4 linked regions of the Caenorhabditis elegans genome follow. The protein of the gene in region 4 interacts with the protein of the main gene of each other region in a pairwise test. Each region holds a gene or a part of one and is shown on either strand. Other genes may lie near its edges.

Region 1 (3,969 bases), on a different chromosome or scaffold from region 4:
ACGAAGACCAGTTCAATAAATCATTCTCGCAACGACCCCTGAAACGATGACATGATTGAACAATAATTCGTTAACAAGTCGACTCAATTGCAATAATACACGGCTGCGGTCTCCTTCGACAATTGTCATCTTGCTAAACAATTGAACAAGACGAATGAAAAGAAGGTTGAGGTTTTGACAAACTGTACAGGACGCGTCTCTAACCTCCTTTCTCAAATTGGGTGGCATCATTGTTCGAAAAAGGTGTCGCTATAATTGACGAATTATTCGACTCCTAGGCAGACGATCTTCAACTGTAAAGGTGTTACGGAAAATCTACTCAGCTATGAAAGTTGGAAGGCCTCCACTTTGACGAGTAACGTAGAGTGTTTGAGGTGGAGAGGAAGCGGGACGACTTTTTGCTTCCCCCCAAAATTGTCTATTAATGAGAAGGCTAATTGACGCACTTGGTGTGAGGAAATCGCTACCGTAATTTTGTCATTTGGAATGATTCGCAATGTTCTGTTACTTGAGCGAAAACACTCCAGCGTCCGTTGACTGTATTGCATTTTATTATTTTATAATAACCAAGACATTGAAAGTGAAACATTACAGAAGAAATTAAGAGATCGGATTTTGAGAATGAGGGCAAAATTAAAGTGGCTCAGCAGGAAAAATAGAAGAGAAAAACAATAGAAATTGAGAATTTGACATTTTGCGTGATGAAAACCGGATAAATACTCTAAGCGAAAAAAAAACAATCTTCAAGGTGGAAAGGTATTATTCATCCTCATCTGATTCTTTTTTAGAAACAGATGCATTTTTTACAGAATCAGGAGATACTGATGGTGATTCTTTTGGGGAACTGATATCATCTTTTACGTTTTGCGATGCTAGAAATTGCAGTAGAGAATTTTGAGAGTTGCTAGCAGGAATCATTGAAGAAGTTGGGACGACTAATGAATTGAATACAGGGCGATTATTAGAAGCTCCAAACATTGAAGTGTTCTGTGATAAGTAGTTTGCCCAATATGGATTTGTTCTTAGAAGTTGTTGAACGGCGGCCATATTTCCAGCATCGTGAAGAAGATCCATACCAACAGAGGCTTGTCGTTTCCATTTGGTTCTGAAAGTACCGTGAACATTTTTTTTCATTTCAAGCACTTTTTTTCTCAAATTTTTTGCGCCTCCCAGGGTAGCAGCTCCAATCTCAAAAATTGGATAATGACAGTGGAGCCGTTTCCCGTGGGGTGGTTGAAAGGAGTGGGGGAGGGCGCGGAAAAAAGATGACACTACTAAATAAAATTGGTGGGCGCACGCAAAGAAATTGAGGAGGGGTGAGAGCTTTGATTAAGATAAATTTCGATGGGGGTGAAGCTTCTCGCTAATGCACTACAATTAACACAAAGTGGCGTGTTTAGACTCAATTCTCGCCCAACTGCTGGCGCAAAGAGCCACACGTTGTTGTTTTTCGAGAAAAGAAAAAAAGTTTGCCTAATTAAGGAATATAGCCGACCAACCTTCTATTTTGATACCATGTCTTTACTTGAGTATCTGTTAGCCCCATTCGATGAGCCAGCTCCATCCTATCTTGAACAGACAAGTACTTCTGCTTCTCAAAGGTGTTTTCTAGCTCTTGAAGTTGTTTGTCGGTGAAGATAGTTCTCGCCTTCCGAGCCTTTTTTGATCCCACGCATGTCGGACTCTCGTTCACAGATCTTTCGGTATTCGGGCTCCCAATTCTAGGGGATGATGGCGATTCCGAGGAATTAATGGAGGTAGGAGATGGATCTACAATAACAAATAAATAAAGAAAACTGTTTGTATAGGTAAGAGGAGAACAAAGGATCATAATTGGTTGACCTATTACTATTACAGATTACCGTCCATGTGACTACTGGAGCGTTAATCCGTTAAATATCATTTTTCAGGTTAGTTGTACATTCAACATTCTCATGGAAGTCTATGTAGATTAAAGTGTTAGAGATGGTTGAACGAACATACAATAAATGCAATAACTTTAGGAAAATGGTGGCAAAATGGATTACCTGGTTCGTTGGTTGAGTGTGAAGTTGGATCAAGCAGATCAGAAATGCGAAAAGAGCTGTTTAAGTTTATCTTCGCGCCACCGGAAGAACTCTGAGCAGCAAGTTGGTTGGTGGGGTCTAGAAAGAATGCAGGAATCAGAAACTGACGGAGATCCAACATTGACATTGTTATGATAACCTTATCAGATGATGTAACAATACAATAAGTTTTGTAATAGTCAAATTGAATGACTTTTAGACAGTAGTTTAGTGTGAATGAGTGGGTTGGAAGGGTCCTGTTGCCTGCAGTCACTAAACGTCGCAAACTCGTTGATTGGTCTAGTCACGCCCATGCGAAGTGGAAGGCGGGGCGTGTCGAAGAAGGGAATAGAATGGATGACACCACGCGGTTTTGTATTGAGAAGTGTGGTCCGTGCAATCCACCTTTTTGAAGCCAATCAAGTGTGATAATGGGGGACGATGAAGCTGAAAACGAGCAGCTTCGAGGAAAAGACGAAAAGCAAAAGTTTCGGAAATGAGGCATTCAGGTGAGAAGAAAACAATTCAGACAAATCCCGAAACTGCCGAATGCAAACTATGCACACTAGGCTTTTCCTAAAAGCAGAGTAACAACGCAATGCAACATGATCCAAACGAGCAATGATTTTCAGATAAAAAAGCACTGAATAGAATTCAATATAACTAGCTATGCTAGTGTAAAACCGCAGAAAAAATCAAAAATAGCATGCTGCTTCGGCGTGCAAAAACTAGCGACTAAAGCTAAAAATGAGTTTCAGCCCGAATGATGTTTCAGCTTTCTGACTAAAAGATGATGAGGTCTAATAGGTACATTGTGTGTGTTTTAATATTTGATACATCACTGATTTGAAATCAGCACAATGGAAAACACTATCTGAAAAGTTCAGTAACAGTGACTACTTTTGATAGTTCATTTTGCATTTAGATTTTCCTGGCTGTGATCTTAAACTTGCTTCACACGTACAGTTCAGATTAACTGGTAACATCTTTTGGTACTTGTGTAGTATACCTAACACAAAAACATTTTCCAGTACATTTTCCATGCATTTCTTTTGAAACATAATAATTTATTCAAACCATGAAATAGATTTGCATTTTTAGACTTTGAAATACTTTAACCTTAAGCCTATTATCGGCAAAAAGGGGTTTAATATTTTTGGACCAGGTGTACTAAACTGGTACCTAATTTTTTTAATCCCAGATCCGCAAAAATCAGATTCTCAAAACACTAAAAATTATAATAAAATGCTAAGTAAGTAAATTTTTTATTTATTTTGAGCTTTATAGGAACTAAAAAAATGTAAACGTTTTCCGAGCTTTTAATTTCTTGAGCATTTATACTTAATTAGAGTTTAAATTTGTATTTTTCGGTAGCCGAGTTTGCAATAGTCTGGGTTCCTCTTTTATAGACTATTATGAGCAAAAAAACTTTGTTTTACATATTGAAATATTTTAAAAATTATAAACTAATATTTATAGTTGTAAAAAATTTTCAGACCCTTTATGTTTGCTTGAAAATTTGTTCAAAAAGTTTTCAATAAAATATCATGTTGAAACATCGTTATCATTCTGAAAAATATATTTGCAAAGTGAACAATGTCAACAATCGTTATATTTTTCACAACCGATTCATGAACAACGCGAATCTATTGTTTGTTATCAACGTCTAACAACTTACTAATACTTAATTTCCTGCCGTATTACCTCTCTAGTTTTCCGGCTGTTTATGTTTGGCGGCCACCTCCGTAAAACGTTAACTTAAACGTACAAATCTAATTTTATGCTGTCCCATCGTTTTCCCTCTTTCCCACTAACTAATAAGCAATATTTCCGGTCACAAACGGTCGATGAGCAACAATAATATCTGCATTCTCTTTGACGGACAGCTGTAGGCCCATTACCGGGGTTTTATGAGGAAAAGAGG
Region 2 (4,080 bases), on a different chromosome or scaffold from region 4:
CGACTGGAAACATTTTTTTTTGAAATCATCGTTAAATTTTGAGTTTACAGCATGATTATCTTGAGTTTTCAACTCCATTTAGGTATTTTAAAATCGATGGACGAAGAGATTTTTAAATTTTTAAAACCAAATCTCGCCGTAGTCCATGGACTTTAAAATACCTAAATGAAGTTGAAAACGCAAGATAATTACATTGTATACTCAAAATTTGACGGTGATTTCAAAAAAAAAATTGCCTTCAGCCGTTACGACATTGACAAGTCGTCGGTCAAATTTGAAATTTTAACGAATTTTTGGCCATTTTTTGAGCCGTCATAATTTTTTTTTGAGAAGTTTTCAAAAAAGTTTCATTATGAAATTCTGTGTTTTCAGACAATTTTGAGTCTAATGAAGCAATAAAAAAAATCGACTACACCGCCTATAATACACATGCTCGGAGAGTTGTAAATTTGAGACAAAAATTTTGAAGTTGTGGAATTTCTACTAATTTTGATGTTCTAAAAGGTTCAAAAACACTGAAAATTCAAATTTCGCGGTTTTTTTTCTTCAATTCAATCGAACATCGTTTATTGGGGGCACACAATAATACAAGTGACAAAAAGCTACACAAATCAAGAAATAACATGCTTCTGGTCCTCCTCCGCCTCCTCCTTCGCCGATTTCTGTTGCTGCACAGCGTCCTGCTTGATCTGCTTGTATTTCTCCTTTCTCAACTTGAATCTCCGATTCTGAAACCAAATCTTGATCTGCTCGGGCGAAAGTCCGATGACTGCTCCCAACTTCCGTCGCTCGTCAACCTTTATTGTGTCGCACTGCTCAAATCTGGTTCTCAACGCGTAAAGCTGAGAATCGGAGAACGGAGTTCGAGCGCCTCTCCGCTTTTCTGAAGGAGCTCTTGGATGCTGCTGATGCTGATGATGTAGAAAAGACGGCGGTGGTGGGATGAAGCCAGCGTGATGAGCCACCATAGGATGAGGAAACGAGGATGGGGAGAGTTGTGAGTACTGCTGCTGGAACCAGGCGAAGCATTGAGCTTGGTAGGCTTGAGCATGGGCTTGAACTCTGTAAAAAAAAAGGAATTTTCGGAAGAAAAGCGATCACGGAGATGAATTTTGTTGCAAATAAGCAGTGATCAAATTTTCCAAATAGGGATTTTTGCCGCTGTAAATTTAACATGCCAAAAAGAAGCTACCAAATTTGCCCAATTTGTGGCAATTGGACTTCTTGGAGCTGTTAATTTCAAAAAAAGCAGCTACCAAAATTGCCTAAATTTGGAATTTTGGCCACTGCTAATTGCGAAGAAGAAGCTTCGAAAATTGTTCAAAATTGAAATTTTTGAAAACAGTTAATTGCAAAAAAAGTAGCAAACAAAATTTCCTGAATTGGATTGTTAAGAGCTCTTAATTGCATAGAAGCAGCTACGAAAATAGTTCAGAATGGACTTTTCGACACTGCTAATTGCAGGAAAACAGCTACCAAAATTGCATAAATTTGGAATTTTTGGAGCTTTTAATTGCAAAAAAGCAGCTACCGAAATAGTTCAAATTGGAATTTTCGACATTGCTAGTTGCAATAAATCTACCAAATTTGCCCAATTTGTGCAAATTGGACTTCTTGGAGCTGTTAATTGCAAAAAAAGCAGCTGCTACCAAAATTGCCTAAATTTGGAATTTTGGCCACTGTTAATTGCAAAAAAGCAGCTACCAAATTTGCCCAATTTGTGCAAATTGGACTTTTCGACACTGTTAATTGCAAAATTGCAGCTACCAAAATAGTTCAAATTGGAATTTTTAGAGCTGTTAATTGCAACAAAGCAGCTAACAAAGTTTTTTTTTGCTAAAAATGCCCGTTCGCGGCCATATAGTGTGAAAAAGCTATATTTTGAGTAATTTCCCACTGTCAAAACTTATGGGGTTATTCAAGAAATGTTACTTGCAAAATGTATTTAAATACATGTTTTTAAATGTATTTTAATACAGTTGTGACGTAATTTTTCTACACTTTTTAATTTTCCGACGCTAATTGAATAACCCCATTAAAATTAGCGGTTCTTCACGCATTTCGGTAGAAAAACGTAGTGAAAATCACTCTAAAACGCCCGTTTTGTACTGAAAAGTATCGAAAAAACTTACAACATATCATTCCCATTATGAGCCAGCTGTTGTTGATAGTAAAGCTGATTGGGATCCGCCACGTAGCACGGTGATGGAGCCTGATAGGCCGCCGGATAGGCTGGCGATGAGCTCATTGAGCCCGGAGAGCTGCTTGGCATTGTGGAATATTCCATTACAGTAGCATTAGTAATAGCAGAAGTTGAATTAAGATTCGAAGAAGACAAAGGATAATAGTCACCGCCGTTATTAATATTATAGTTGGATGATGACATTTTGTGTGGAATGAATTGGGGGAATTATAGTGGCTATTCTCCAGCTGGGGAGGCTGTAAATCTAGGCGGAGCATTGCTGCCTAGGTAGGCGGGGAGGCGAGAAGGTGCGATTTTGTTTGGCGGGAGACATGACCGGGAAAAGGTGACACCGGAGAGGTGAGATACCTGGGAATTGGGTGAGATTTTCCGGCTGTTCTTCAGAATTGTCTGAAAATCTGGAAAAATGTGAAGTTTTTCCACGGAAAAGCGAATTTTCGATTGATTCTTGTAGTTTTTCGTACAAATCGGACAATGCCAAAATTTGGCAGTTTTGGTACTTTGTGTTGGATTACGGTAGAAATTTTGGTCTGAAAAGCTTATTTTTAAGCCAATTTCAGTCAAAAACTGCAGTTCCGGCAATTCGGCAAAAACTTGCCGGAATTAAAAATTTCCGGCAAATTTGCAAGTTGCCGGAATTGAAAATTTCTGGCAAATCGACAAATTGCTGGAATTTGAAATTTCCTGCAAACCGGCGGAATTAAAAATTTCTGGCAAATCGGCAAACTGGCAAACTGCCGGAATTGAAAATTTCTGGCAAAATGGGCGATTTGCCGGAATTGAAAATTTCCGGCAAATCGGCAAATTGGCGGAATTGAAAATTTCCGGCAAATTGTCGGAACTGAAAATTTCTGGCAAAATGGGCAATTTGCCGGAATTGAAAATTTCCTGCAAACCGGCAAAAATTTGCCGGAATTTAAAATTTCTGGCAAATTGCCGGAACTGAAAATTTCCTTCAAACCGGCACATTGCCGGAATTGAACATTTCCGGCAAACGGGTAAAAACTTGCCGGAATTCGCCGAATTTTCCGAACAACAATTGCCCGCCTACTTAAAACTTTTAAAAAAGCAAAAAAGAAAAAAACAACTGACATAAAAATTATCTGATCAATAAGATATTGGAAAAAATGTTGAAAATTGCAAAAAAATATATCGAATCTAGGCATATAGTGCTCCCTAAACTACAACCTACAACAAATTTCAAATAAAATATACAAAATTTTGCAAAAAAAAGAAAAAATATAATTAAAATTCAAATTTCGAAATGTTAAATTTGAAAATTTTAGAGTTTTTCGACGAAATTACAACAAAAACACTCTGAAAATTATAAAAATCCTGGATTTTTTCAGGTGAAAGAGGCAAAAATCATCGCAATGACTTGTACACACGCGGCTCTCCGTCGAAATGAGCTCGTGAAGCTCGGCTTCCGCTACGATAATATCGTAATGGAAGAAGCCGCTCAAATTCTTGAAGTTGAAACATTTATCCCATTGTTACTACAAAATCCACAAGACGGACACAATCGACTGAAACGATGGATTATGATTGGAGATCATCATCAGCTGCCGCCAGTTGTACAGAATCAGGCATTCCAGAAATATTCGAATATGGAACAATCGTTATTTGCGAGATTAGTCAGGCTTAGTGTACCAAATGTGCAGTTGGATCGACAGGGAAGAGCCAGGGCTCAGTGCGTGTTTTTTTTTGGGGAATTCTTGAGAAATTCTACGTGAAAATTAAGAATTTTACGGTTGAATTTACCGAAAAACGATTTTTCGTGCGAAATTGGCAAATTTTCATATGAAAATTGCAACTTTTCACAAGAAAAATTTGGCATTTGAGCTCAATTTGCTGAAATTCAGATTTTTTTCGGAAAA
Region 3 (3,721 bases), on a different chromosome or scaffold from region 4:
ATCAAGATAACTTGATTTTCTGTTCAATCAAATATTTGTTCTTACGATCTCCTTCAGATCCTACTTGATACTGAGTCAACGTTGCCAATGAGCTTGCTGAAATAGAATCAGTGAGTAAAGTTTCAAGTGGTGTCAGAGTGCTCCATCTCGGTATGATCTACATAGATCTACAAAAAACGCGGGAGCTGATTTCGTATGGCTAATAACGTGCTGACGTCACATATTTTTGTGCAAAAAATTCCTGCATTTTTTTGTAGATCAAACCGTAATGCGACAGTGTGACGTTTATTATAGAATTTCTCACGAATTGTGTCCGAAGTACATTGCGAGTTGACTTTATTGATATTATTCACTAGATTAAATATTAGAAACACCAATGAGAAAACCAAATTTCTCATTGGAAATTTTTTTAAAGTGAAGGCATTCTGGAAGAAAAATGCCGATGGGCTGCCAGTCTCTAGGCGACGATCCGCTGGTTTCTAAGCGACAAATGAATAATTTTAACGATCGTGTTTTGTTGTTGTGAAATTGGAAACATCAGCATTAAATATTCCAAATTTTTATTCGAATTCTATAAAAAAGTTCCGAATTCATAAGGAATCGACAGTTTATTCACAGATTCTTCAGCTTTTCGTCGTATTTCGTCCATATTTCCATGCTCAATTGCAAGACGTTTGACGTCACGATGTTGTCGTTTCTCTTCAGCTTCGTGTTGCCGAATATGAGCCTGAAAAAAAATATATTTAAATTTTTCCGTTGAACCAAGAATATTCGATGCTTACCGCAAAATATGGAGCTCTTTTATACTTTTGATGACAAATTGGGCATTGGAAAAGAATTGGCTTCGGCAAACACCCGTCCTCGTGGCGTTCCAAATTGAATTTCCGAGAGAAACGTTTGAAACAAGTCTGAAATATATTTGGCATATTAATTTTGGAAAATTACAAAAAAACTAACCCTACAACAATAATCTTCAGTATCTCCTAAAAGTTGAGCAGCCGTCCGGATTCGCTTCGTTTTTGTTTCAGAAGATGTTGAAGGTGTTTCCTTTTCATAGCGAAGTGCAATTACTCGTTTTGTGCGCGGCTGAAATGAAAAATAAAGTTAAAATATAAATATTTTCAAAATATGGGGGCCACTATGGCCAAATTCATTGGTGGGCGGCAATTGCCGTTCGGCAAATTCGGAAAATTGCCAATTGGCCAGAAGTTTTCAATTCTGGCAATTTGCCTATTTGCCGAAAATGTTCAATTCTGGCAAATTGCCGGGTTTGGAGGAAAATTCAATTTCGGCAATTTGCTGATTTGCCGGAAATTTCAATTCCGGCAATTCGCCGATTTGCCGAAAATTTCAATTTCGGCAATTTGCTGATTTGCCAGAAATTAAAAAATCACTTAAGATTCAATTTTTTCCATTTATTTTCAGAATTAAATCCAATTCTTACCAAAGAAACACTATATCTAACATGTTCTGTATCAGCTGGATGGTCTCCGGGCAATTCGACGATATAAGGTGTTTCGTATTTCTCACGATTCATCAATTCTCGATTGAATCTCGATTTTTGATCCAAAACTCCTCGGATAAGCTTTCCATCTCTTAGAATATATTTTTATTCCTTTTTTGTTTTTAATTTTCAGTGAGTACCTTGAAATCGCCGTGATTAGAAGTTGAAATCGTTCCAGATGCTTCGTTGTTACGATTTTTCCACCTTCACCGATAAATTTTCTGAGAATTTCTTCTCGAAAACCCGGCAGCAAGTCCATCTGGAATTGAACCTAAAAAATATTGAAAATTTGAAAACCAATTGAATACAATATAAGTATAGATCTGAAAACTTCATCCATTCATAAATAAGTACTAAAACTGGAGAGGAATTGGTGGGGTACATTTTATAGATGAATTCTACGAATGAAGTTGATGAACTTTAAAAAAAAGATAAACGGCAAACAAATAGAGAATATTGCAAAGAGAATTATCGTAAAATTCAATGTTACAGACCTTGGTTTAAGGAAGAAGTTTTAAGACAGAAATGATGTAAGAATCGGGAATCACTGATGATGAAGGAAAATTGATGAAAACGGGGCGGAAGGGCGGAAATCACAGTGCATGAGACTACACTTCAGGCATATTGTTCATTGGATCCTGGACTAGCGGGGACATGAGAATGGGGGAATAATTATTTGGAAATAATAATGATAATAATGTTAAAGATGTTGTAAATCGGTGATCGAATCACCATTCAGCTTCTCCGGTACACTTCTGGAAGCAGTAATCCTTTTTGTCGATGTGCATAATTCCATCCTTGAGCTGGAACTTCCACTTGGTACGGGCACGATTCACCTGAAAATTGCAAGATTCGACAATTTAACTTATAAAATAAATAGAATTAACCTTCTCGAACTGGCACATGACAACATTGTCCGCCTCGAATAGCATCGTCAAATCTTCATCGTCTGATTGATCATCTTCAGAATTCAATGGTTCCTCTTCTGCCACTTGATCTCCATCTTCAACTTCACCATTTCCCATGCGATCAGCGATTCTTCGAAGTGGATCATCATCATCGTCAGGCTCATCTTCACTGGAAGAATCAGACATTCCACCGCCACCTCCGTCGAGTTGAAAGTCTTTCAATAGTGATCCCAAGACTTTCATCGCTTTCTTCTCACTTGCTCCACTTCCACGGACTCTCAATGAGCACTTTGTCTTTTTTGGAGCAAGTTTTACAGGTCCACTAGGTCCTTCTCCGTCTGATTCGGATCCCACATTTCCGTCCATTTGATTCATATGGGTAAGTTGATTGCCCTGTTGAGGCTGCTGCTGCTGAGCCTGTTGTGGCTGTCCTTGATGAATAATTCGATGCTGTGGAATCTGATTCGGCATAATCGACATTGGAATATTCTGACCATTTGGTTGCTGCACAACGAACACTTGTCCCGGTTGAAAGTGAATTCCACCTTGAAATTGTGGATTGAACATGCGAACTTGAGATGGATGTTGCTGAAAAACGATGGTTTAGTTTTGTGGTTTACGTAGGAGTCGTGCAAGATTCTTGACGATTTTGAATGTATAGACCCAAAATGGGCTAAAAAAAACGAATTTCATAATGAAACTGCGAAATTTTTGAAAAATTGCACTGATTTCAGCTAAAATCTCGAATTTTTCCCTTTTTCCGTGTCACATCTGTCTGAAATTGAATTTTTTGGAATTATCATCCCTATCATTTAATTTCATCGATTAAGGTACATTTAAAGCCTGTCGGTTACCTATCGGCTTTAAATGTACTTTAATTGGCGAAATTACATGAGATAAACCACCCAAATCTGCAATGAAGGATGATAATTTCAAAAAAAAATCAATTTCGGACCGATGTGACAGGGAAAAAGTGGCCAAAATTCGAGATTTTTGCAGAAATTAGTCAATTTTTTGAGCAGTTTCGTTACGAAATTTGGAAATTTGTCCTGCTGGAGTATTAGTCGCATTTAAAAAAAAACAATAATTAAATTAAATAACCGTTGGCTGGCCAGTGTACGCCATTCGAATCGGAGCATCTCCAATGTGTGCTGCGTGAAGAGCCGACAAAGCTCTCACTGGCTGCTGAGCAACGGGTCTCTGTGGAGGCATCGGATTCGGACGAACGGCACTCGGCGGTACGTGATGCTGTTGGCGTGGTGCCGGTGGTGGTGCATTGCTCTCCAAGTCGACACATCCACTCGAATTC
Region 4 (4,391 bases):
GGTATGTAGGCAAACTGAGGAGTTTGCTCCAAAATGCAGAAAGTAGACTATAAGAAGGTTACCTGAAGTCAATACTTAACATTTAATAAACTGAAAATTCTTACAAATGATCTGTCATATTTGAAATCCTGTAAAACATCTCTGAAGCTATTAAATTTTTGCAATTTAAGCTATTAAAATGTTGACCCAAAACTCCCTCCAAAGTTCCCAAAAACTATAACATGTCAAGTACATAAAATGTCCTTCCCTATCCATAACCTAATGATCACCTGTCAATTCTAGTTACCTAACAACATAAAACGCGTACCGCTCTTTCTCCTCCACCCAACAGTGCGCCAGACGGATCCCTTTACAACTCTCTGGTTGGTGATGATGTAATTTGGAGCCGCCGGCTCACCGCAATACTGTCGGAGCACAAAATTCAGGAAAATGATCCTGATTGAGAACATGGTGCATGCATTAACAGATAATTTGTTTTTGAAGGGAAAATCAATAATTATCTGGAGATTAGATATCTTGTTTTTAGAGATAGTTGTAAACAATGGCAAATTGTAAAACCACTTTAGATGAACCTGGAACTTTCGGGAAATCTGGCAACCGAGCTACAAACTACAAACTACAGAAAATCAATCTACAAATGTTTTTTTCAGTCAAGAACCGAGATATCAGTTGCACATGGTGCATCGAACACTAACAAGATTAATCAAAATTTGTCACGTCCAGTATATCCGTAGTAAAAGTGAGAATTAACCTCAATGATTTATCATCCTGCCCGTGTCCTTCTTCCCGTTTATCAATATTACCGTAGTGGTGATGGTGGTGGGGGCATCGAATATCGTCGTAAAATCGTCGTTAAACAAATTTTATGAACTCTATATACAAATCAAGCGTGTTATTATTGTTTGGTAGAAAGATTGGAAAACGATAAAGAGAGGTGAACAGGTTTCCTAAAATATCCCCCCGGAGATTCATTTCTAGCAAGTATTTGGAGAAAGATGAAGAGGGACTGCACAATATTTAAATCGTTGAACCAATAAAATAATAATCACAAACTTGGAGCATTTGGAGCATTCGATGACGATTTTCTAGAAACTGGGGAAGTTATGAGGTTTTTGGATTACATTTTTGATTGGAGTATCATGAACATTTTTTAGAACTCCTTAATAATAATTCTTCAAACGACAAAGAAGTTTCAACCAAAAAATTTGTCAAAAAGTGTTTCTAACAGAAATGAAAGTATGTAGAGAGAAAGTTGGGATAAAGTAGGTTGAGAAGTATCCCACATATCTCAAAAAATATTTGGTTTATCAAAAAGTTGTCAACTGACAAATAGTCGAGCAAAATGTCAATTGAAAATTCCCTCGTATTATTGATTTTTGGGAAGTTACAGCTGTTCAAACTTTTAATTTTGTCTATTTTCACCTTTGAAACTTATTCCTTCACACAATTCCCCTTTTTAGCATCCCGCCAAACATCGAAAAACCACGCCTACCAGTGTTATCGCTACCGTACCCCGCGGTCCGCCTTCGGGAAGGCAGGAGTGGGGCCGTGGCATCCAGGTGAGACCCCAGGCTCACTCTCAGCCACCAATCTGTTTAGTATTCACTTTTACGCGAATTTTCCAATTTACCAATATTTCAGTTTTTGCCCGTTTTGATTGAATCCTTATTATAATATGAAATTCCAGAGAAAAACCATGACAGATCAAGTGTATGTGACACTTCGAGAAGATCAGGATAAGCTGTGGAACCTCTTCCATTATCATAAAAACGAGATGATTGTCACAAAATCCGGCAGGAAAATGTTCCCGAAGCTTGAGTATGTGGTCAGAGGTCTCACGCCGAACAAGCTCTACGCTATGATGCTTCATATTGAGCCATCCGACGATCATCGGTACAAGTTCAGCAGTGGAGAATGGGTCAAGTCGGGAAAAGCCGAAAAGCACAGGGAGCCAAAGAAGTTGTGGCATGCGGATGGAGTTAGAAGTGGAAAGTGAGTTTTTTTTTGGAATGCTTTGTTAGTTGATCTTTTATTAGATAGCGCAGTCAGGGTTGGAGTACCTATTTTTCAGCAGGGAATCAGAAAATAATTTCAATTTAGAACTGTAATATCTCAAAGGAAAATAAAAATACAATAGTTGCTTACTGATGAAATGTTTATTATAAAATTTTCTACAGTTTTCCAATTGACAACTTTTTTGTAATGACTGTTTCAAGCAAGTTATAACTACTTAAAAATGTAACACATCGCCAACTTGAGCATGTTAACTTCAAACTGTTATAAAACTACGGGCGGTTTAAATATCAAATATCAAATCCTTTTCAAATAAATTATCTGATTTTCTGTATATCTCCCTATAGTAACTTTTTTCCAGAGAATGGATGACCAACCCAGTTTGCTTCGATCGTGTAAAAATCACAAATTGCGCTGAATCTACAAATGCATCAATGGTAACAGCCATAATTCTTTTCTCCTTCAACCTCAGCATTTCCCAATTTCTTCCAGATTTTCCTTCACAGCATGCACAAATACACACCAGTAATGTCAATCTACGAGTCCCCATCGGAGAGCCCATTCAGCGTCCCACAACCATCGACCCGTCTTGTCACTTCTGTTCGACTCACTTATACCGAATTTATTGCAGTTACAGCGTACCAGGTAACACTTGTTTGGGATCTAGATAACTTTGCCTATTGAGCCCGCATTAACACTTGCATTAACACGTGTGGCTCTCTATGAGCCACATCTTCTGAAGGGTGCGAACACTAATTGTTTGAGGGGTATTGTTTTGGGTTTTCTGTGAAGTGAAAGGGTTTGACACAAAACAAATAGAAGAAAAGGATATTTAAATAATTGTTGCAATTTTTTATTAGAAATTAAAGTAAAATGGGTAAATATATTAATATAAATTTTTAGTCTCATTCTTGATTTATTAAGATTTCCTCAAAAACCGTAAGAGAGCTATCATGAAATTTTTGACCTATAAAATGATGTATACTTTTCAAATCTGAAATAACTTTTCTCTTAATTGAAAATATTGAAAAAACACTCAAAAATTGTCTGAAAGCTGAAAATAGCTTGAAAAAAGTTTTGATAGTTTGCCGGCAGTTTTTTACCGTTTTTCCGATTGTTGCAACTGTCTCAGGCGGTTTTAAAGACCAACAGCAAATAATTAACTGCATTATTTAATCTACAATTTTTTATTTTCTTGAAAACAGCGAGGCATCTCAGAAAGTTGTCTTTTTTCCATGGCTCAATCAAAATGTAACTCTTAAATTCAAAAACTTCCAGAACGACGCAGTAATCAAGCTGAAAATCAAGTTCAACCCATTTGCCAAAGGATTCCGAGAGGGAAGCCAATCAGACAGAAAACGAAATTCTCCATCCGCCGACGACTCTACAACAGATGAAAGCTCATCTCAAGTCTCTTCTCCTCAGCCAAAAAAGTCACGAACCGTGTCAGTATCACCTCCATTGATGCCACGGATCCTTCCAACAATGATTCCACCACCACCAGCCATCAATCCCCTTTTCTACAGTCTCCCCTACTTTTCCCATTTGGCAGCCACCGGGAACTTCCCGCCTGTACCATTCCAATTCCCATTTGGACTTCCATGCTTCTCCCCAATGTCATTTCCAACACCTCCGCCATCTTTGAAAAATGTCAAGAAAGAAGAGCAAGAGGATATTGAGCAGGAAATCAATGTAGTTTAATTGCAAAATTTAATTATTAATTTTAAATTGTTATACTTTAGTTCGGGTCACATGATCACTTTTTCTGTTAATTTTTTCTGCATAGAAGATTTTTTGTTTCTGAATTTGGACATAATCAAATAAATTTTATACGGTGTAATTATCTTCCAGACAAGTAGGCAGGCAGGCAAAAATGCTCTTCTGCGGGCATTCACAAAAAATAGGTCTTCTATTGCCCATGCCAATTTTTTGAAAAAATAACTTTAACTTTAAAAACCAGTTTTTTTGCGGCCTTTAAAATTGAGCAATTTTTCCTTTAAAAAATTTCCAAAAAACACCATGGCCGAATTTGTATTTTTCGCGGCCACGAGACTTCAATTTTTCATGGCAATGTTTTAAGAAACTTTTATGGTTTTTACAGTTTAAATTTTTTCCACCATAGAGCATAACTTGCCACGTGGCCGAAAAAAAACGGTGGCGGAGTTTCTTCAATTGGTTCTTTCTGCCACCAAGACTAAATGCGGGGCCGAGGTTTCACACGTTCTAGGCCACGCAATTTCTTTTTTGAACTGTTTTTCTTCTTTCCGTTCCTTCAATTTTCTCCGTTATGGCCTAGACTTTCTTGTGAAAAACTATAGTTCTTTCAATTTTGAAATTGCGAAAAATCGGCAAAGTCGACCTGCTCAATATGATGACGT

What was found.
Region 1: the proteins of tbx-8 (region 4) and ceh-31 interact in a two-hybrid assay, tested with the Caenorhabditis elegans proteins (one large-scale study listed by BioGRID).
Region 2: the proteins of tbx-8 (region 4) and ceh-51 interact in a two-hybrid assay, tested with the Caenorhabditis elegans proteins (one large-scale study listed by BioGRID).
Region 3: the proteins of tbx-8 (region 4) and K11D12.12 interact in a two-hybrid assay, tested with the Caenorhabditis elegans proteins (one large-scale study listed by BioGRID).

The regions. Positions count from the first base shown.
Region 1 is NC_003284.9:3,068,115-3,072,083, forward strand, and holds ceh-31 (Homeobox protein ceh-31), read right to left. Parts: upstream 2,309-3,969; 5' UTR 2,194-2,308; coding exon 2,028-2,193; intron 1,771-2,027; coding exon 1,500-1,770; intron 1,443-1,499; exon of another isoform or gene 1,160-1,442; intron 1,106-1,159; coding exon 760-1,105; 3' UTR 534-759; downstream 1-533.
Region 2 is NC_003283.11:18,872,439-18,876,518, reverse strand, and holds ceh-51 (Homeobox protein ceh-51), read right to left. Parts: upstream 2,387-4,080; coding exon 2,133-2,386; intron 1,063-2,132; coding exon 612-1,062; 3' UTR 537-611; downstream 1-536. Other genes in the region: emb-4 (Intron-binding protein aquarius), read left to right, coding at 3,553-3,893. UniProt on the Caenorhabditis elegans protein: Required for mesoderm development, including specification of muscle and coelomocyte precursors.
Region 3 is NC_003283.11:5,050,315-5,054,035, reverse strand, and holds K11D12.12 (C2H2-type domain-containing protein), read right to left. Parts: upstream 1,776-3,721; 5' UTR 1,764-1,775; coding exon 1,645-1,763; intron 1,596-1,644; coding exon 1,445-1,595; intron 1,087-1,444; coding exon 958-1,086; intron 909-957; coding exon 783-908; intron 728-782; coding exon 572-727; 3' UTR 546-571; downstream 1-545. Other genes in the region: cwp-4 (Coexpressed With Polycystins), read right to left, coding at 46-96, 305-398; pqn-51 (Prion-like-(Q/N-rich)-domain-bearing protein), read right to left, coding at 2,233-2,340, 2,392-3,000, 3,514-3,721.
Region 4 is NC_003281.10:10,345,888-10,350,278, forward strand, and holds tbx-8 (T-box transcription factor tbx-8), read left to right. Parts: upstream 1-1,687; 5' UTR 1,688-1,696; coding exon 1,697-1,992; intron 1,993-2,374; coding exon 2,375-2,450; intron 2,451-2,505; coding exon 2,506-2,658; intron 2,659-3,291; coding exon 3,292-3,714; 3' UTR 3,715-3,853; downstream 3,854-4,391. UniProt on the Caenorhabditis elegans protein: Transcription factor. Involved in the control of early morphogenesis of the intestine, hypodermis and body-wall muscle. Involved in regulating expression of vab-7. Appears to have partially redundant function to tbx-9.